2 linked regions of the Mus musculus genome follow. The protein of the gene in region 1 purifies or fractionates together with the protein of each later gene. This does not show direct contact. Links are inferred from orthologs where the notes say so. Each region holds a gene or a part of one and is shown in the gene's direction. Other genes may lie near its edges.

Region 1 (10,413 bases):
GTCTCTAACTGTAAATTAGGGCATGGAAACCCAGCAGGGGCCTGGCTGGGTTAAGGGGGGAGGGCAGGATCTTAAAGGGACAGCAGACATTTAAAAGACCAACGTTGGCTCCACCACTCTGACATACACCCTCTACCACAAACCTCCACACTTTGGGTTCCCGCCTCAGTTAACAGCACCTCCACTCTTTTAATCTGGCTTTCAGGACTGAATTTGGAGGTGAATCTTGGTTTCACCCTGATTATATTTGCAAACTTTAATTGCTATCAATTTTGGCTGATTTTACTTTAGATGTGACTTTGTTTCTCCATCTGTTGTTCTTTGGGTTTAAGTTCTCTCTCTAGGTCTTGCTTTCATTTTTCCACTGGTGTATCTTACGTGTATTTTCCACTCACTGCTGCCAGATTAGATGATGCAATATATATCAGGGACTGATTATACAGAACAAGCCTTGGTCAACTGAAAATACTTCTTCTTTTGAGTATAGGATGTAAGAGTTCACCTTCTACTTAACAATATATTAATTTAACTATATGTCATATATAATGTTAATTGTAATTTTTTTCACTTAAACTCTTCATGACATCAAAAAAGGGGGTTTAAAGTTAAATGCACATTGCTGGGTGTATGGGTGCATACCTTGAATCCCAGCATCTGGGAGACAGAGGCAAGAGAAACTGTGTTTGAGGCCAGCCTGGTCTACAAAGTGAGTTCCAGGATAGACAGGAACTACTACACAGAGAAACCTGTGGGAAAAAAAAAAGTTAAATACATGTTTATTTGGTCCAAAATGGGACAAAGCCTTGCTAAGGTTTTGTGCAACTGGAACACAGTTGAGGGACCTGAAGGAAGGCAAAGATGGCCCCACAGCCTTTGAATAAATGGCTGCATACAGGACATGAGTGTTAGGGTGGTACTGCTAGACCAGGCACCGAGTGAATTAATACCCCACAGAGCAACATAATCACAGTTATCTTTTCTGTTAAGAATAATCATTTGCCTCTTTCCCCACACACATAACATAGGTAAGCTGACCCATGGCCTCCCAGTTTGCTATTAAAAGAGCCTGGGCTATTAAATAATCCATTATCACTGCCATGAAAACATACTTGTTTTTTGCCTTCTTGTTTCTATATTAAAAATAATTATTCTCAGCAATAAAACATGTTCTGAATCTTTCTAATCAAAACTCTTTCCATGAACCTTGAGTCCCGGGTTAGAGACTCAGGAAGCTGAGAGAAGGCTGTTGCTTGACTGTGCTCTGCTCTGCTCTTTATTCATCCTGAGATGGCAGCCCACAATCTCTAAACATGAGGACTCACCTCTATTAAGCCTCCCTAGAAACACCTTCACAGGCGTATCCAGAAGGTTGTCTCCTAGGTAATTTAAAACTTGCCAACGTGACAATCATTTAGAAACATTTCCAGAATGTGACATCTTTGTGCCCCCTGAGATACAGTATTCCTAAAACATTGTATAGGTTTTTAATCACTTTGCAAAGAGGATACACACATAGATTCTATGTAGAATGTATAGATAAAAACATCGTGGGAAAGCACAGTTTTATAGGTGTTAAAAATTGTAGGTGTAACTTCCAAAACACTAATAAAGATGTGACCCAGAGCTCCCAGAGTAGCAAAAGGAATATAGATCTTAAAAAATAGATTAAATCCCAGCACTTGGGAGACAGTGGGAGATATGTCTCTGAATTAATGTCCATCCTGGTCTACAAAGTGAGTTCCAGGCCAGCCAGGGGGGCATAGTGAGACCTTGTCTTTAAAAATAAATGCAATAATCCAACAGATGACCAAGGCAGTTAAAAGAAGCACAGAGCAGGATGGCGAAAACAATTTTGACTATATAATTCATCACAAATATATCGAGATTTATTCTCCACTTAAATGTCTAGTATAGTGGTATATGTCTTTAATCCCAGCACTCAGGAGGCAGAGGGGCAGAGGGGCAGAGGGGCAGAGGCAGGTGGACTCCTGTGAGCTCAAGGATAGCCTAGTCTACATATCAAGTTTCAGGCCACTAAAGGCTAAATAGGAAGACAACAAAACAAAAACAAACCAAACAGAAACAGACAAAGCAAAGGAACAAACAATAGACTATCAGGTTGAATGGGAAGAGAGAGACTGTAGAGAGAATATCTTGAATATTGTATGGATGCATCACCTGTCAATTAAAAAAACCTTGGCCATATAGCTAGACTCTTCTCTAACTAAATATAACTTAAGATAACACATTTAGTTTAATCCACATTTACTACGTGTCTGGCTACCTGTGCTCAGGTACCATGTATCTGTCTCCTCACATCTTCCCGGGTGGCTTTTCCACCTGGCTCTATCCCAGAATTCTTTCTCCTTCTGGATGACCCACCTCCTATTTCCTGCATAAGCCATAGGCCATAGGCTTGTTAATTGACCAATCAGGGATAGCTTGAGGGGCAGCATCACGTGGTGTGCTGAGGATCTCCTTTCCCTGAGGTAGCCAGGGCCAGTGTTTAGCATTACAGTACATATCAACAGACCAAACCTCAACAAGAGACTGTCAAGATGAATGAAATAAGTCCTCCTCCCATAAACTTCCAAAAGAAGGAAGAGTAAACAAAAGATAAGGATAAGATGAAGACTACAACAAGATTTCAAGGAAATTATTAATAATAAACAAGTGACTTAGATTGTCCTCTTGTGAACTTATAAATTTAAAAAGAGAATCTAAAAAGAAAATAATTTGGAAGATGTTGATATATTTATTAAAGAATGATATAAGCCTTTAGTATGCATGCCAATGATTTCAGTAAGATTACAAGTATGATGTACTAACTTACAGAATGTTCTGAGCCCAGCAAATGAAAACCATGTGTTGTTCTCAACACATATGGTGCAGGGTTTTGTTTTGTTTTGTTTACAATGAATGCACTGTAATACAATGATGCTAGGTCCCAGGAAAAGTCAGGCAGTTCTAGGATTTAATATTGTCTTTGCCCACAAAATGTTCAAATAAATAATAATTAAAAAATGTTAAAAGGTACAACTTTTAACTAGAAAGGTAAAAAGAATGCTCAAAAACATAACACTGGTTAAAGAGCAAATTACAATACCATTACAAAATACTGCTTAGGAGAACTGGTAAATCAGGGTAAATAGTACTTAGAGGATTGTATACCCTTTCACATAATCACTCTTTACAAAGGAGATTGTAACAAGGTGCAGTAGGCTGGCTAGCCTGCTCTCTCAGCCTTCTAGAAGACAAAAGCAGGAAGATCAGGAGTTTAAGGATAGCCTTGGCTATATAACAAATTTGAAGCCAACTTGGGATACAGCAGTGCTTATCTTAAATAAATCAAAGATGGCTAGGGAGAGAAAGTGTTGAAAGCCAACAAGCTATAAACACTGACACTATCTAGCTAGTAAAAGAATCACAAAGTAACAAAGCTAAACAAAATATATATAAAAAAAATTCCAAAGTCTGCGAACTACAATTTTATATTCAAATATTTTCTGTGTAGAAAAAAAGTGGGAAAAATGCAAAACAAATAATGAATTATTTAATAAATAACTATGTAACACTAAACAAAGTATGTCATAATAAAAATAACGAAAAGTGGGGTGCAAATACAGCCAGATCATGGTCTAGGAGGGCAAAATGAGCAAGTTTATTCCCAAAACAGTCGTAAATAAAAATGGAAACATTTTTAGAAAAAAAAATAGTAAAAGTTCTTTAATAAGAAACAAAGCTGAGTGACCCCTCTCCTCCCTGCCCCTCCCTCTTCTCACAGAGAGCACTGCCTGCCAAGAAAGCTAGACCATATGGTTAAAGGGAAGTCTTGCTGCTTTATCTTTGTAGTCCTGGCTGCCAGGGATCTCATTCTGTAGCTGAGCCCAGCCTCTGCTTCCCCAGGGCTGGAATCAAAGGTCTGTGCTGCCTCTATGGCTGCTGCCACCACCACTGGCTTAAGCACTTCCAATTCATCTTTTGTGGCCACCACACTGGCTGCTTCCAACCCTGCCATAGTCAACATTGTATCATTTTATTACAATAATTAGGTAGATGACCACTAAAGGGCAGTTATAAACAGCAGACATAATTAATGGGAAATTGTGGAAGCACAACAAGAATGCTTGCAAGACAAGGGGACCTCCTGGTCATCCATTATACTCTGTATTATATTCAGGGGATGGTTCGTTTTAACGATCAAAACCTAGCCTCGGCTGGGAAGGAAGTTCCCATTCACTCAGTGAGGAGCAGTCTAGAGTAGGTTGGCCCTGGACATGCTTCTGAGGGAATTTGTTTAAAAACTGGGTTGTTAGAAAGCCCCCCCCCCCCATATGTGTGAGGCCATTTCATAGGTTGGGCCCTAGTCTGAACGAATGAGTGAGGGAACTAGCTGATCACTGGTGAGCGCATCCATCACATCACTGCCCTCTGTTCTTGTCTGTGGATGCCATGTTACTAGCTGCTTAAGTTCCTGGTGCCTCGACTTCCCAGCAATGATGGGCTCTGAGAGAAACTGTGAGCCAAATAAACTCCACCCCCCCCCCCGCCCCCAAGTTTCTTCTGTCATGCTATTATCACACCAACAGAAAGCAAAGGTAAACTTAGCGATAGTTTAGATTAGTAGTTCTCAACCTTCCTAATGCAGTGACTCTCTAACACAGTTCCTCGTGTTGTGGTGACCCCCTAACCATAAAAATAATTTTTTGTTATTGCATAACTGTAATCTTGCTACTGTTATGAATTGTAATGTAAATATCTGATATCTGACCCTTGTGAAAGGGTCTTTGGTCCTGACCCACATGTTGAGATATGCTGGTTTAGATACTTGCAATAGTTTAAAAACAAAACAGGATTAGGTGTGGGGCCACTAGTAATCTGTCCCCACACTTCTTCAGCCCTGTGCCAAACTCCATTGACAGACCTTGGCAACCATGACCCCCTGCCCTTGTCCCTTGTCCCTTGTCCGTGGGCCTAGTGGGCACTACTAAGTGGATGTCTCGAGGCGCGGAGCTTACATCTGACCCTGTGTACCTAAAGCAAGACAAAGGAGGAAGGGGACAGATGCCTCCCGGCCCTCTTCTCGGAAGGCTCTAGAGCTCTGAGCGCCCCCGCATTCCACCGCTTTGTGCGAAGGGGCGAACCCCGCGGGACACGGCGTGGAGCTGCCGGCCCCTCCCGTGAGTCGCCCTGGCCGCCCGCGCCGCACCCACTTCCTCTTTCCCTTCCGCGCGCCAGCCAACCGCTCGCCAAAAATTCCTGTCACTTCTGACAGGAAGCGGGGAGGCCGCGCCGGGGCGACCAGCATCGCATCTCCGCCGCGACCCCGGACCCGGTCGTCTGCAGGGTCCCGCCTGCGCCTGGGCCCCAGCCCCGCCCGGTTCTCCACCCCCGGCTCGGCCCAGTCCTCTGTCCCCGCCTCGGCCGCGGTCCGCCCGGTCCTCCTTCCCGGTCCCTGCCGCTCGGCCCTCCGTCCCCGCCCGGCTCAGTCCTCGGTCGCTCCGTCGCCCGATCTTCAGCCACCGCGCAGCCAGGTCCTCCGTCGCGGTGGCGGCCGGGTCCTCGGGCGCGAGCCCGCCATGGAGGTGGAGGAGGCGTTCCAGGCGGTGGGCGAGATGGGCCTCTATCAGATGTACTTGTGCTTCCTGCTGGCTGTGCTGCTGCAGGTGAGTCCCCGGCTCCCCGCGGCCCCCGGGGCGCTCTCAGCTCAGGCTGGCCCCAGGTGTGGCGCGAGAGCGCAGGGAGGGAGGGGGCGGGCGGGCGCCGCGCGGTGGCGGGCCAGCCACTGAGCTCTCCCAGGCTGTCACCCAGAGCCTGGCACTGACACTTCGCCACCAGAGCTAGTTGAAAGATGAAACCCATTACCCGGGATCAAAAGGATTCGGCACCCTAACCCCTTACAGAGTGAGACAGAGAAAGCATGGACAACCTGCCCACAAAAGATCAGGTCTAGCTAGTATGGCCTCCTTCAGCCCTCTCTGAGATTGAGGGAGGCTTCCTATTAAAGGGGCTTTCCATCCACGGGAATTTATTTCTCTCTAGTTAAAGTTCTACTGGGTTATTAAGCTCCGAGGCCAGCTTTGGTCTAGGGAAATGATACCATCCACACAGTGTGGTTCATTGTATTGAATTCTCAGAAACCAGCTGCACACCTCAACCTAAAACTCTTGATTTTAGGAGTCCTTGGGCTCTTTAAGAGGTTCATTCTTGTAGTCCTAGCACTATGGAAACTGAGGCAGGAGAAGGATGGCTCTTCTTCTAGGCAAATTCAAAGCCAGCCTGAGCAGCTCAGATTGTCCCTAGGAAGCAGGTCAGTCAGTGGTAAAGCCCTAGATGTGCAAGGCTCTGGGTTTGATCCCTACCACCAGGGCCAGAAAATGAAGCTAGCTCCCTGTCCCGGAGGCTTGCAATCCTGGGATGAAGTGGTCTGTGACACTGACACTGTGAGGCTGACAGCTGAGCTAAGTAAGTTAAGGTATTATTGCAAGGGAAGTACTGGCTGGCCGCGGTTATAACCAGAGCCCACAAGTTGCTTCAACGTTGTGTTGATGCTGCAGCAGGAAGAGAGGCAGTAAGGTAAAACTTAATCTACTGATTCTCTTTCCCCATTAAAATCTTCAGTTGACTTCAGCACCAGGCAGAACATCGGTTCAAGTGGTGATACTTGGAAGCCTTTCTCTTAGCAGAGTAAGAATTAGTATAGAGAAATAGAACTGCAACTGCAATGTCTGGTCTTCATGTATAATGGTTTCTTTGACAATATTCCATCTAACCAGGAGTTCCAAGTATATATCCCCTCTCCTGGCAATCCTTTTGGCCACTTCTCTGCTCCACTTCTTGTGTTAGCATCTTATTTGCCTAGCCAGGTGGTTGCCAACTTAGAATCAAATCTTGAGTGTGGCACTGAGAAGGCCAGTATTCTGGGTCAGGACCTGTTAACTTTCCTGGGCTTTTATCACCTCGTTGCCAGCTGGAGATGCAGGGCCTTGCGCTTTTTATACGAGAGCTTTACTGCTGACCTACACCTTCTTCCCCTCCCTCCCATGCTTTTATTAATGGCTGACCTAGTTCATTGTAGTTTGTTAAGGAAGAGTTCCAAGCCCATGATCTTTTTGCTCAGCAACTGTTGGTTGATTTATGGTCACCATTTGCCAAGTTTTCAAGTGTTATTGGCAATGGATGGTTGTTTATCTTGTAGGTGTGGGCTGTATGGGTTGCCGTGTCCCTGCCTCCACCTGAGTTCCACGGGAAGACGACTTTATAATTCGATGTGTCTGAAAGGATAGCTGATTCTTCTGAAGTCCCTGCTGTGGAGAAGTGATGAGGGTCACACCGTAGCGTTATTGAAGACCTTACTGTACTATAGTCTAAGTCCAGCCCATTGCAATAGAAGAGTTCAGCCATGGAGAGAACCTGCCGTTCTCACTGCCTGCATCCGCAGTGAAAAAGATGCCTCTGATCACAGGCTTAAACACGTGCAAGAAGTCAGAGCAGATGAAGGAAGACCCAGATGAAGGAGCAGTTGCAGGCCCAGCTGCTGTACTGCTTGACCAATACTTGACAGGGGACATGGAACACCGAAGCACCCACCCCAACATTTTGAGCACAAAACCAAAAAGAGCTGCCTTTCACATTCACACCCCCTCCCTAGATCTTGCTTACAAATATTTTTGTAGGTCATCTTAGACAAGAATATCCCAGGCTACACTTGAGTTTGTAATATTAAGTGCATCTTTAATAGTTCCATCTGCTAAAGGATAGCTGTATTGATAACAGATTGTACTTTTATGTTGATTTACTTAATTTTTTAAATTTTTTTGTTGTTGTTATTGTTGTTGTTGTTGTTTTTCCAAGACAGGGTTTCTTTGTGTAGTCTTGGCTATCCTGGAACTCACTCTGTAGATCAGGCAGACCTCGAACTCAGAAATCCGCCTGCCTCTGCCTCCCAAGCACTGGGATTAAAGGTGTGCGCCACCACCGCCCGGCCCAAAAAAAATTTTGAATTGAGGGCTGGTGAGCTAGCTCAGCCAGGTATGGTGTCTGGTGCCAAGCCTGAAGACCTGAGTTCAATTCCCTGGACCCACGTGGTAGAAGGAGAGAACCAGATTGTCCCACAACTTATCCTTTGACCTCCACACCCCACCCCCAGCAGTGGATAAAATTTTAGAAGTTGAATTGATTTAGAAGAAACTAATGAGTAAAAGCATAAGGGAAATAGACCTAGAGCGCTTTTAGAACATCCCATGGCAGAGTTTGGAAGGAACTGAGTTCTGGGGTATTTTCATGGCACCCTAAGAAGTGTGCTCTCTGCTCTCCCTCCTGACCGCTATTGCTTTTAAGCACTCCTTCCCCTAAGTTTTAATTCACCCCTGAGCAGCCTCTCTGCAATTATACAAGTATGTCATACACTTCTTCCCCAATGTCCTCTCTGTGCTCTTATGAGCTTCATCTGGCTTGCAGGAGAGAAATGGGTACTGATAAAAGATTTTTCTAGGATCTTAGTAAGTAGGATTAAAAAAAAATGAATCAGCCAGGCGTGGTGGCACATGCCTTTAATCCCAGCACTGGGGAGGCGGAGGCAGACAGATTTCTGAGTTCGAGGCCATCCTGGTCTACAAAGTGAGTTCCAGGATAGCCAGGGCTATACAGAGAAACCCTGTCTCGAAAAACCAAAAAAAAAAATAAAAAATAAAAAAAAAATAAAAAAATCATTGTTTTGTTTGTGCCCTGGCTGGCCTCAGACTCACAGAGATCCTACTGCCTCTGCTCCCTAAGTGTTGTGATTAAAGGCCTGCCCTACCATGCCTGGCCCAAAACTGCTGGGTTTGATTGTCTTTCTGCTGTACTGTTGTGGAAAGAATCAGTTTAAACATACATATGATGTGCTGTTGCCATAGTGGTACAAAGAGGCCTTAGATAGTGCATGAATGTAACTTTACAGCTCTTTAGAAAGTTAGTGTTTAACTCTATCCATAGTTATACAAAGTTCGATTTCCCTCAGTGAGAAATACACCCCAACCAATGCCTTGCAAAGGAAGGAAGGAGATTGGGGTTTGCTGCAGCCTGCAGAAAGATGAGCAGCTGAACTTGAAGCTTAGGTTTAGAGAGAAACCTGAAGGTAATTTTCGATAGAAAAACACTGGTGCAGAAGCAGAGAATAGCTCCTATCTCTGCTTCCTTGTGTATCGGGTGCGGCTGGAGAGATGGCTCAGTCCTTGCTGATCTTACAGGGAAAAGTTGTCTATGTCATACTGGAATAAGTAAAGAGAGGCTGCTGTGGGTGTTGCAAAGCTTGGGGGAAGGAATTCTTAACATAAACGATAGCCCAGTCAGAGGCGGGAGATCAGATAGCACGTGTCTTAGGGTTCCATGGAAATAACCTAAAGCGAACTCAGTTTCTTCCAAACTCCATAGTGTGATGTTTCTGGACCTGAGTTTGTTTCCCAGAACCCTATCAAGCAGCCTACAACTACCTGCAGCCAGTTCCAGAGGCCCCCACAACCTCTTCTGTTCTCCACTGACACATACACACACACACACACACACACACACACACACACACCATGTGGCATACATTCACAAAGACACATACACAATACACTACATTAAAACAAATGAGCGAACCCCTATACCCCTTAATCACGATCTGCCTATTAAAGTTTGGGAAGCCCTGGTACATATTGTTCCTACAGTATTGTACAAGCTTGCTGTTCAGTAGAGAAGTATTCCACTGGACCCTCTAGAGAGGCTAGTTAGATGGGAGTGCATTAGACAGAGGCATACATTAATATCCAGTTGTACTGCAAGAAGAAAAGAAGTTTAGAGATGTGTAGCTAAGCATGGTAAGTCATACCTGAGTGGTGAGTGCAGAAAGCTTGAATGCAAACTAGAGAGCAACTGGGTTATAGGAAAATACTCCTGCACCCATTAGTATGTTTTGACCAGGAGAGTTTATTGAGTTCAGGAGACTGAGCTGGTGATACAATGTAGATGGATTAGAACAGAGAGACAAGGCACCAGTCCTTTAGAATGTGTGTGTCCCGCATTTAAAACCCCTCAAATACATCCTTATCAGTAAGACACTCACTCAATAACCAAGAGTGCTCACATGCTCCAGACACGGCATGTGGGTTTGTTTTCACGACTACGGGCTTACTCACAGAGTGTTTCTGGTTGACCAGTTAAACAATCGAGTCCTAAGTGCATAAAGGACTAATAGCAATGCCGGCAATGAAATCAACTTTGATTTTTGTTCCTTATGTTCCCTTGAAAAAGATCTGTCCATAGAGTTAGGTGACCCCACTCTCATCTTGCTGTTGCTGTTACAGGAAACCTTGAATGGTTTTTAATTGCTCTGTATCTTGTTCCAACTCACAAAGTAAACATCAGACTTAACCATGACTTCACAGTGCA
Region 2 (10,307 bases), on another chromosome or scaffold:
AGTACCTAGAAAGCCAACACCAAAGCTATGTTATGCCATGCCTTAGGGGAGGGGGAGGAGAGTATGAAGTCTGTTACAAACCATGTGGCCAAGCAGATAGATAAAGGGACACAGCAGAGCTTGTGGGCGTGCAGTAAGTGACAAATGAAAAACTATCTGAGAGGGTTACCTGCAGTCGAAGGGACAACAAGCCACCAACAGAAAGGTCTAGAATTGTCTGCAATCTGGTCAGGGTGGAATCCAGAGGCCTGGGCTGGATGCTCTAGGATACTACCTAGCATTCAAGAGCCTCCTGTAACAAACAAACGAATGAATGAATGAAAGGGAAGGGAAGGGAAGGGAAGGGAAGGGAAGGGAAGGGAAGGGAAGGGAAGGGAAGGGAAGGGAAGCGAAGCAAAGCAAAGCAAAGCAAAGCAAAGCAAAGCAAAGCAGACCAAGCAAGCAAGCGTATGGACCTGAGGGTAGTGGTCTAAGACTATGATGTCTGCTCTCATGAGGCTGAGGCAGGTGGATCAAGAATTTGATGCAAACCTGGATTATGAAGTGGGATCTGGGCCAACTGAGGTACACAGCAAGACCAAGTCCAATCACAGTGATGACAGTGTGCTATCTTCAGAGTCATGAAGGCTGGCATAAAAAACTGGGACGTTTTACCTCTTCCCTCTCCCCCCCGCCCCCGTCCCTCCCTCACTTATTTACTCTATCAAATGCCAATAATAAATGTCTTATGCTGATACTTGTGACACTGTACCTAGATATGAGTACAAGAACTTTAGCATGGCCACATAGAAGTTTCCTGAACGACAGAAGGCACCTCAGTACATCCTAGCCTTGCTTTCCAGATTCTGCTAATGACGTCTGGACTCATTTTATAAGTTGCTATCGGGAAAACAACCTACAGTTTCAAAAACATCATAAATAAGAATGCCAACCGGAACTCCAGATGTTGAGAGTGAGGCGCTGAGGCTGAGGTGGCATTTGAAAGCGATATTGTCACACACGCTGCACAATGGATGAGCCCTGAGGGACCTCATGCTGTCAGCAGTGGTGGCAGGGAGACACAGGCCAGCACTGCTGCCAGCAGCCTGAAGAGCTTTCTCTCCCTCAGAGACCTCTGCTCAGGTAAAGCCATATGCTTGACAATGGCACTGAAAAGAATCTCAAGATGAGCCAAGCTAAAGGCAAAGTCAATAAGTTTATTAAGTATTTAGACAGAATCATAGGAAAAAGGCAGTGTACACTCGAGGCATGGGTGTGCGCTTCTCAAGAGAGTTCTCTTAGAAGGCCTGAAACTTGCTCTGTAGACCAAGAGGACCTTGAATGCAGGCTGGCATGCCCCCCCACCCCCACCCACATGTCTGGCAACACTTAGGTGGCTTCACAGTGGCTGTGTATGTGATCTGGTGGTTTTAAGTTGCATTCTTCAAAGGAAGCAATTTATTACAAGGTTTAGAGATTAATAGAGCTTGAAACTAAGTAAAAAGCCTTATTTGGATTGTGCTTTGCGTCAGTGATGCCCTAAGGGGCCATCTGAGGTGCACTGTTCCAATTAAGGGATGTGAGAGGGGTGCCCCTATGGTAGGACTCACTGTTGCTAGGTTTTTTTTTTTTTTTTTTAATCCTTGTCTGAGGTGCGTTCAGGGAAACACACATTAGCTCTCTGGCTAGCTTGGCTCATCCTGTGAAACAGAGTCCTTGCATAGAAGCTGTTTCTCCCAAAAATGATTGACTAGGCAGACATGCAGTAATGAGGAGAGGTGGGAAGGTTGTAGATCCAGAGCCAATCACCGAAGGCCATCTTATGCCTCCCGATAGCCATCTATTGTTCTCTTCTGCACCTGACCTAACATCTCTGTGACCACTGGTTAAGCCTTATGAACATATGAACAGACCCCTGGCTTCTACCAATCAAAGGGCTGAGAATGCCGTCAGACAGTATCTATGGCCAGTATAGAATTACCCAGTTTGCTGCAACCCACCTGCCTGATGTCCTCACATATGTATTTGAAAAGTATTATTTTTAAAAATCCATAGGGTTGCTACTTCATTGGAATATGGAATTTGGGAAGAGCTCCATCTACATTGCCCTGCCATGGTCACTTCCGTTAGGTTCAGAATAATTACCTCCTTTAGTCCTCTCTGGAAGGGGCCATTGCCTTCACTGACCATCAGTTGTTTGGAGGTACTTTGACTTTTAGTCAGCAAATTATGTCCCAGGGTGGGTGGGAGGGTTCCTTTCCTTCACACATTCCCTTAGCTGCCCCTCCACCCCACCCCATCCCTGTCCGATCTCAGTGCTAAGTGACCCGTCTTCTGTCAGGTGCCTAGAGCACTCAAATCCGGAGACAGAAAACAGAATGATGAACGCCAAGGATGGGCTCTGGAGAGAAATGCAAATTATCATTTAAGAGATGTGGAGTTTGGGCTTTGCAAGGTGAACCTTTGGGATGGGTGAGTGAGTTGGTTGCAGGCAACAGGAAAATGGTGTTACTGGGCCACAGTCTTGAAAATGGCCATTGTTAGGTGTAATTTACAACAACAACAACAGAGTGACTTGAGGCCACCCTGGTCTCTATATCGTGAGTTCCAGCTAGCCAGTGCTACATAGTGAGCCCCTACTTCAAAGACAAAATAGAATTAGAGACTAAGTTGACAGCTCAGCTGGTAGTGCTTGGTTATCATGCAGCCTTGGACCAACTTCAGCCCTGCATGCACTGGGTATGAAAGCTAACACCTGAAATTCCTCATTGGAGAGGTGGAGGCAGGAGAATGAAGGCTATCCTCGGCTACAGAGTGACCTCAAGGTCAGATTGGAATATAAGAGATCCTGTCTCAAAAACAAAGCAAACAAGCAACAACGGAAAGAATAAAAGTAAGAAAAATATTGACTGAAAAGCTTTGAGCTTGATGAAAGATTCTCAATCAGCAAATTTAGAAAGCCCAAAGAGTTCAAAGTACAACAAACGCAGAGACAGTGTGGCAAAACACAGAGCAGAGTGGGCGCACGCCTTTAATCCCAGCACTCGGGAGGCAGAGGCAGGCAGATTTCTGAGTTCGAAGCCAGCCTGGTCTACAGAGTGAGTTCCAGGACAGTCAGGGCTACACAGAGAAACCCTGTCTCAAAAAACCAAAAAACCAAAACCAAAAACAAAACAAAACAAAACAAAACTAGACTGAGGGAAACCTGAGTTTCCTTTAAAAGCACAAGGCGTATAATGGAGCAGTGGGTGACTATGATGAACTGAAGCCCTAAAATCTCAAGAAAGCAGAACAAAATGTCATAAAAGCTAGACTTTCATAGATTCAGTACACATGAAGCAGTAGTAGCAGAACACAAGGAAAGAACAGATGGAGAGGAAAACAATCCTGAAGAGCAAGAAATGAGAGGCCAAAAGAAACAGTACATCTAATGGGAAAACCAACGTAAAGCAGCAGAAATAAACCCAGGTACACCAACAAATACAATAAGTATAAATGGATTAGATGCACAAGCTAAAAGACAAAGACTACCCCTTGGAAACTTTTATTATGAAAATAACTTCAGGTGTATAGAACATGGGAAGTACATGAACAACATGGATATTCCTGCCATATAGAGTCATGTGTACTCTTCACACGAATGTTTGATGAGGAGGCTATGAAGGTCTATTTTACATAGTATACGTTACACAATGAAATACTAGTCACGTGCCAATGGGAACATACAGGGCTTATTTTGGGTATCAGACAGAGCTAGGCTCTCAGTTACTTTTAGTCATGTGATTTATGTGTGTAACTAATTTATTCTCTCAGTGAGGTCCTAGCACGGTGTGAAGCAGGTCGTTTTCTGGTTATTGTATTTCTAAATATTTCTTGCATAAACAAGTAATGCTATCAGCAAATGGTTCAGTGCAGCGCTTTGCGGTTTGGTAAACACTGAATGCAGAATAGCTTTTATTTATGACAGTTACTGAAAGCATTCAGCGGAGTGGCACGAAATAAGCAAACAATAATTGCCAGTTTATTATATTTATAATTGTTATTTATGAACTGTCACAAGGCCTGGCACATATCACTAACCCGTAAACATTGTGTTTGTAAGAATAATAAGTACTTTATTATATTCAGGCTCAGTAGAGCCTGGCACCACACGTGCGGGAAGAAAGTGGAAGTTTATTCTTGTTAATTATTATTATTAAGTAAAGCACTTAACAACAGTTCTCCCCGCAGGCGCTTACTGAACAGTCTCACTGGAGACCGCCCCTCCTCCCAAGCCTCGAGAGGCCACGCCCCCTGTCTCGGAAGCTCCGCCCTCTACCGCCCGGTCTGTGCCTGCGCAGTGGCCCTGAACACCCTGCGCATGCGCAGTCTCCCTTTTGTCGCTGGAGCCGCTGGCCACTGCCGGAGCCCGGCATCTGCTACGTACGTGCGTACGTGCGTGCGTCGGGGCGTGCGTGGGTACGTCGTGCGTGCCGTGAGCTCGCCCGGCACCGCGGCCTCGCCCTCCGCCCCTGCGCCCCGCCACCCAGGCCGCCGCCCCCCGCCCGCGCCGTCGCCCCCGACGGGGAGGACCATGGCGAAGGTGGAACAGGTCCTGAGCCTCGAGCCACAACACGAGCTCAAGTTCCGAGGTAAGCGGCCGGCCGGCCCGGGAGCTGTCACTCAGCGGCCGGTGCCGGAAGGGACGCGCCCTGAGGGCAGGACACTGTCCGCTTGAGGCCCGCATGCACCAGGCGTCTAATGCATGCATGTGGAGTCAGTGCATGGAAACGGTTTGCCTGAGTACCCTTCCATCAGCTCCCCCGAGGCAGCGAGCTGCCGGGGTTACAGCCCACGAAGCCCGTGCACACTTTCTGTGTAGTACACTTTCTGTATACATCTGTGTGTAAAGGTGCATGCCCAGGTGATTAAAAAGGTGCACGTAGACAAATATATATGCATGGTATACGCATGTTATAGATAGTGTGTATACATACATGTGCGTACATATATGTACATACACACACACAAGTGTGTGTGTATGTACACATGAATGTTTCCATTCACTAATTTTAAGGGCCACGAGGCAACAGGGTCCATGCCCAGCCTGTTCCTTGCTTCGTTGCATGTTTGAGTCATGAGATTGGGCACAGGAGGCCTATAAAGTTCAACAACCAGTAAGCAAGATGGCAGAATACAGTGGTAAGCACTAGGAGGAAGAGGAAGAAACTGGACTCTATGAAGGTGTACTTGAGGTTGGCTGATATGATCCTCTGTGTATTGCCCACGTGTAGCCCACAGCTGGCACACACGATTTTGGGTGGCCGAGAGTCACCCGTTTCTCCACCGCTGGGAAGTAACGTAGGATCACAGCTCTTATCTAGTTGTCGCATTTGAGTTCTGATTTCAGACGTTCAGATACTTAGCCACTGTACCCACAGACTCTTGGGAAATGCTTCAGATCTGTGGCTGTTCACCTTGCCTTCCAGGTTCAGAGTGTGCAGTGTGACTCTTACAAGGAAGCAGAGGCCGTCCAGTCAACCTGAAAACAAAAACCTTAGGCAGCCTAACACAGGGCTGTGGAGATGGTTCACCGGATAAAGAGCTTGCTGTCAAGGCTGAGGACTTTAGTTCAATCCCTGAGTCCCACATGGTCAAAGGAGAGAACCGACTTGTGCACATTGTCCGCTGACCCCAACAGGTGCAGCCTGGCACACTTGTGAACAAACACACAGACACATACACAAAAAAATTTCAATAGAAGCATCGACTTAAATGTGGACCCTCGTCACCAGAGGTTCCCCCACTTATCGGGATCCCACTTGTTAGCGACAAGGAAGTGGTGTCCGTTTGGTAGTGACTATTTGGAATTTCGAATGCTGAGTCTTTTTCAGGTTACAGTGGTGCGTGATCCCGTGCCTGACTGCACAGCAGTGAATCGCCGCCTGGTTATAACTGTAGCTCTGTGTATTTTGTGTGTTTGCACCCTGTCACGAGTGCAAGGCGTCCATCTCTGTGGTGGGGTGCTCATGTGCATAAACTCTTTGGCTGGTGTCTTTATTTATTTTGCGTTTATGTGTTGCGAATGGCAGTATGTGTGCCACAGTGAGTGTGTGGTACCCAGAAGACAACTTGTAGGAATCATTTCTGTCCTTCCACCCTTGGGGGTGGAACTCAGATCTCCCGTCTTGCGCAACAGTGCTTTTGTTTCCTGATCTGTCACACGCTGGTGTTCTCTTTTAGAGATATGTGGGTTCTCGTGTGCTGAGGTCAGTTCAGGCTGACCTCAGTCTTGAGACAACCCTCCTGATTTTGCTTCCCCAGGGCTGGTGTTACTGTCTCAGCACATATTTGAATATTGTATTGTTATCAAATGGGCACTGTGCACCTGTAGGATGACGTGAGTCTGGGGCATGTCAGCTGCGATGTTCAGAAAGGTCAAGTAGAGCCGGGCGGTGGTGGTGCATGCCTTTAATCCCAGCACATGGTAGGCAGAGGCAGGTGGATTTCAGAGTTCGAGGCCAGCCTGGTCTACAGAGTTGAGTTCCAGGATAGCCAGGGCTATACAGAGAACCCCTGTCTCAAAAAACAAACAGCAACATCAACAACAAAAAAAAAGGTCAAGTAGGTCGAATGCACTTTTACATAAACATATTTCAACTTAGGAAGGGGTTGTCAGGATCTAACTTTATTGAGGGACATCTTTGACTTTCTGTGATGTTCTCAGTGGCTTCTCTGGAGGGGGAGACTGGGAAAGGAAGACCATATCCAAAGTGACTTTACTGGGGTCGCCTGAAGCTCTTACCCGTGACATGGCACATTTATCCCATTGCTCTGCCTCTGTGTGTCAGAACCCAGGACAATTCAAATCCAGTTGGTTGGTCTCGCCTCCTCTTCTCCGACACCCACCTCTCCTTTGCATCCAGGGAAAAAGGGGGCAGATGAGGTGACCCAGACTAGAGTGTGTTAGGAAACAACTTCCCAGGGTGTGGGAGGTCAGATCGTGACAGAGTATCACTGAATCTGGTTACAAAGTTCCAGTGACAGCAAGGGGGAAGCAGATAGGAGAGTCCGGCATAGACAATAGTGTGCATAGAGGTCCAAAAGTGGGAGTACTTGCTTCTTGAGAGTGCTGTGGGTAGAAGGTGTGGGGCGGAGTAGAGGGCCAGACTGGCCAGTACATGAGAGTCAGATCTACACACCCACTTGACTGACCTTCCTCAGGTTGATGCCTGAAGCCCCCACACACTGCTGTCTCTGAAGGAGGGGACACCAGTGTTCCAGCTCTTCCAGTTTAGCATGTGTGACCTTGCCTGCCATTTGCTCTCTTACCTTTGGGTTGGTGGCAGTGCTAAGAAGGTGACACTTCTCCAGCCAACATCGCTGGTTGGCAAGGAGATAGTCCAAAGGTTTGGTGTCCAAACGTCCTTACTCTGGAAGAGTCGTCCAGGGATGTGTGGAGACTTGATGGGGGTCTTGGGAGTGCCAGCCATACATTAGCGTGTAGCCCTTGCCTTGCGGATGAAGTCTCACTAAGCCTTCCAGGCTGGTATGGGGTGCGTGGCTTTCCTGCCATAGCTTCCTGGTGCTGGGATTGGTGCCACCAAGCCCAACTGGGGTGTTGAGTTTCTTGGTTTGTTTGCTTGTTCCTTGGTTTGAGTGCCAAGACATAGAACGAGAGACCCAGCAAGTTGGCTCATTATGTTAAGGGAATTCATTTCAGGGTGAGGACCTTCAGACTTAACTGGTCTCCTTCATGTTATCCAGAATAATGTCTCTGATTTCTGAGGTTCCTGTAAATGAATTACACGTACAAGCTAATCAAAGTACTTGTCATCCAGGGAATCATGGGTCTTTTGCTACAGTTGAAGATGATGCTATGGGATTTAGTATTTGTCGTTAATCTTGGGAATTTTGCGTGATGTGTTAAATTTAAATATGTTATAGTCTGGGCGTGGTGGTGACACATGCCTGTAAACTAAGTACTTTGGAAACTAAGGTAGGAAGATTGTGAATTCAAGATCAGATTGGACTACATCTCAAGATAACATAAAATAAAATAAAACCAAACACAAAAACAGCTGAAGTGTGATATAGTTCAGTGGTAGTGGGCTCTTGGTTCAATCCCTAGACACACACACACACACACTGCATGTGCACATACAAGTACACACACATGTATATACACACAGCTGCCTATGCACCCACAAGTACACACATGCAATACACAGGCAATACACATACACACATATTCACACATGTATGCACACACGTACATGCACATGCACACACAATTACAGACGAAAACAGCCTACAGGTTCCTGTGCTTTTTTTATTTCTGGGGACCATGCCACATTGCACTGTAGTGAATACCGAGGAGGGCTGCTAATGGGAAGACACAGAGTCTGATCTTCATGAGCCATACTTCCTGAGAGAGTTAAAGGCTTCAGAAGCTTGTGGTAGGAGCGTTCCCTTCTGTTTTCTCCATCCAGGCCGGGTAGGGTCTGACTGCCTCTTACATCCTCCTGGGAGCTCTGACTTATGTCTACGTCTAGCCTCTCAAAGGTTTGTCTTTCCTTTCTCTCCTGTTGGATCTCCTCTGTGGTATGTGATGCCTTGTATAATTTAGGTCATTGTCCAGGAGTCAACACTCCCACACCAAGTTCTATTGAAGTCATAGCCGGGAATGATAGCTAAACACCTTACTGGGTTGAGACACCAACCTGTTGTGGGTTCAAGGCCTCCTTGCCTTGTTCTGGCAAAAGCTGGTTCAAAGCCAGTGACAATTTGGAAGTCAGACGCAGCTTACGTACCTAGGTAGGGGCACTCACTTGAGCACTCCAAGCTTGTGGGTAGACACTGTCTTTTGTATGGAGAGAAGAGTCTTAGACTTGTTAGTTCAGGTCATGGAGTTGGTATAATACAAATGTGGTGGGAAGAAACCAGAAGTGGTCTCCCAACCAGAGGCTATAGTCCTCACCGGCAGGAATTACCTTTCCACTGTTTGCTCGCTCGCTCGTTCGCTCGCTCAGTGGGTCAGAGCTCTGGTTTCCTTAACATTTCAGGATCCTGTTGGCAGCCAGTGCTTTACAGCACAACAAAATGTCAGCAGCGTGCTTAAGGTTCTTTATGGCCGTGGTTTAAATCCATCCTGAATAGATCATCTTCATGTATTTAATTATTAACCAGCTTGCTCATCACAAAAGCGAGTGGCATTAAGTTTACTGGGCTCGCGTCAAACTTAAATCTTCCCTGACAGCACTGTTTACTTCTGAAGCCTTCTCCCTCGGAGAAGAATGAACTAGACGGTAACTTTCTCTTCTCTTCTTCTTTTTCTTAAAAACATTTGTGCAGCCCTCGGCCTTGTACTTGGAAGGCAGCCTGGTTCTCTGTGAGGGCTCGTGTCGGGCAGCCTGGCAATTCCCTAGTAACTTTTCATCACTGTGTTGACTTATTGAAGTAATTAGTCTAAACTGATGCTTCTTAAAGAGCCCAACTCTTACGCAGCATTAATGCCATTTTTTATTATTACCCTTTCCTCCACAGAGATTTTTGTGCCTGCAGTCTTAGGCTAAGTAGTTAGAAATGAGGGGTGGGACAAGGGAGTAAGTTCCAGAGAATGTTAGAACTAGAAACTTGAGTTTTAAGATGAAGAACTTCCTCCCACACTGCTCCATCTATCTCTCTATTTGGTAAAACTTTGCCATCTGAAGGCTGACCTGGCCTTGAAGGAGCACTGCTGTCTGCGAGATGACAGAAGATGAACACAGACGAGCCTTCCATTAGTCAGGATGAGCTTGCCGTGGAGTCTTTCATAAAATAAGAGCCTTGAATTGTACTAAAACAAGGGTGCATTATGGTGCCGGCGTGTCTCGTTTTCTGTCATTTCAGGGCCTTCTCGGCCCACGCACGGTCAGCACATCACACCCAGAGAGCTTTGGCCTTGTTCACTGGTTCTTTGAAGCCTTTACCAGGGGACCTGGGCAGCTCTACCTCAGAAACAAAAGTGGCTTAGAGAGCCTTGCTCACTGAACTAGATGGTCATTCCAGGATTATCTTAAAAAGTAATGGCGTGGTAATAAAATACCTCCTGGAATTCTCGTTTTTAAAAATGCTAAATGCATCCTTTAAACGGAAGCTGTTGTTGACTGGAAACAGGCCCTCAGGGGTACTTCAGGGTTTCTCCCATGCATGGGGTATCTGGAGTCACTGCTGTTAAAGTATATAGTCTCATAAGAAATTTTTCATTATTTATATATAATATTAAGAATACACATTCACTGTTTAAAATTGGTTGTCTAAAAGGATATTTAGTACATGTTTCTCCTACCCCCTCTACGATAGCTCCT

Evidence for each region. The genes of interacting proteins can lie anywhere in the genome.
Region 2: the proteins of Slc22a15 (region 1) and Vapb purify together in Homo sapiens (co-immunoprecipitation; 3 studies listed by BioGRID and IntAct, with this or other methods). This does not show direct contact. The link is inferred for Mus musculus from reciprocal best matches to the Homo sapiens genes SLC22A15 and VAPB.

What each region holds. Positions count from the first base shown.
Region 1 is NC_000069.6:101,919,285-101,929,697, reverse strand, and holds the start of Slc22a15 (solute carrier family 22 member 15), read left to right. Parts: upstream 1-5,244; 5' UTR 5,245-5,579; coding exon 5,580-5,666; intron 5,667-10,413. UniProt on the Homo sapiens protein: Organic zwitterion/cation transporter with apparent specificity for amino acids and their derivatives. Has low affinity for its substrates and may regulate their flux across the plasma membrane at high substrate concentrations.
Region 2 is NC_000068.7:173,733,141-173,743,447, forward strand, and holds the start of Vapb (vesicle-associated membrane protein-associated protein B), read left to right. Parts: upstream 1-4,430; 5' UTR 4,431-4,552; coding exon 4,553-4,610; intron 4,611-10,307. UniProt on the Homo sapiens protein: Endoplasmic reticulum (ER)-anchored protein that mediates the formation of contact sites between the ER and endosomes via interaction with FFAT motif-containing proteins such as STARD3 or WDR44.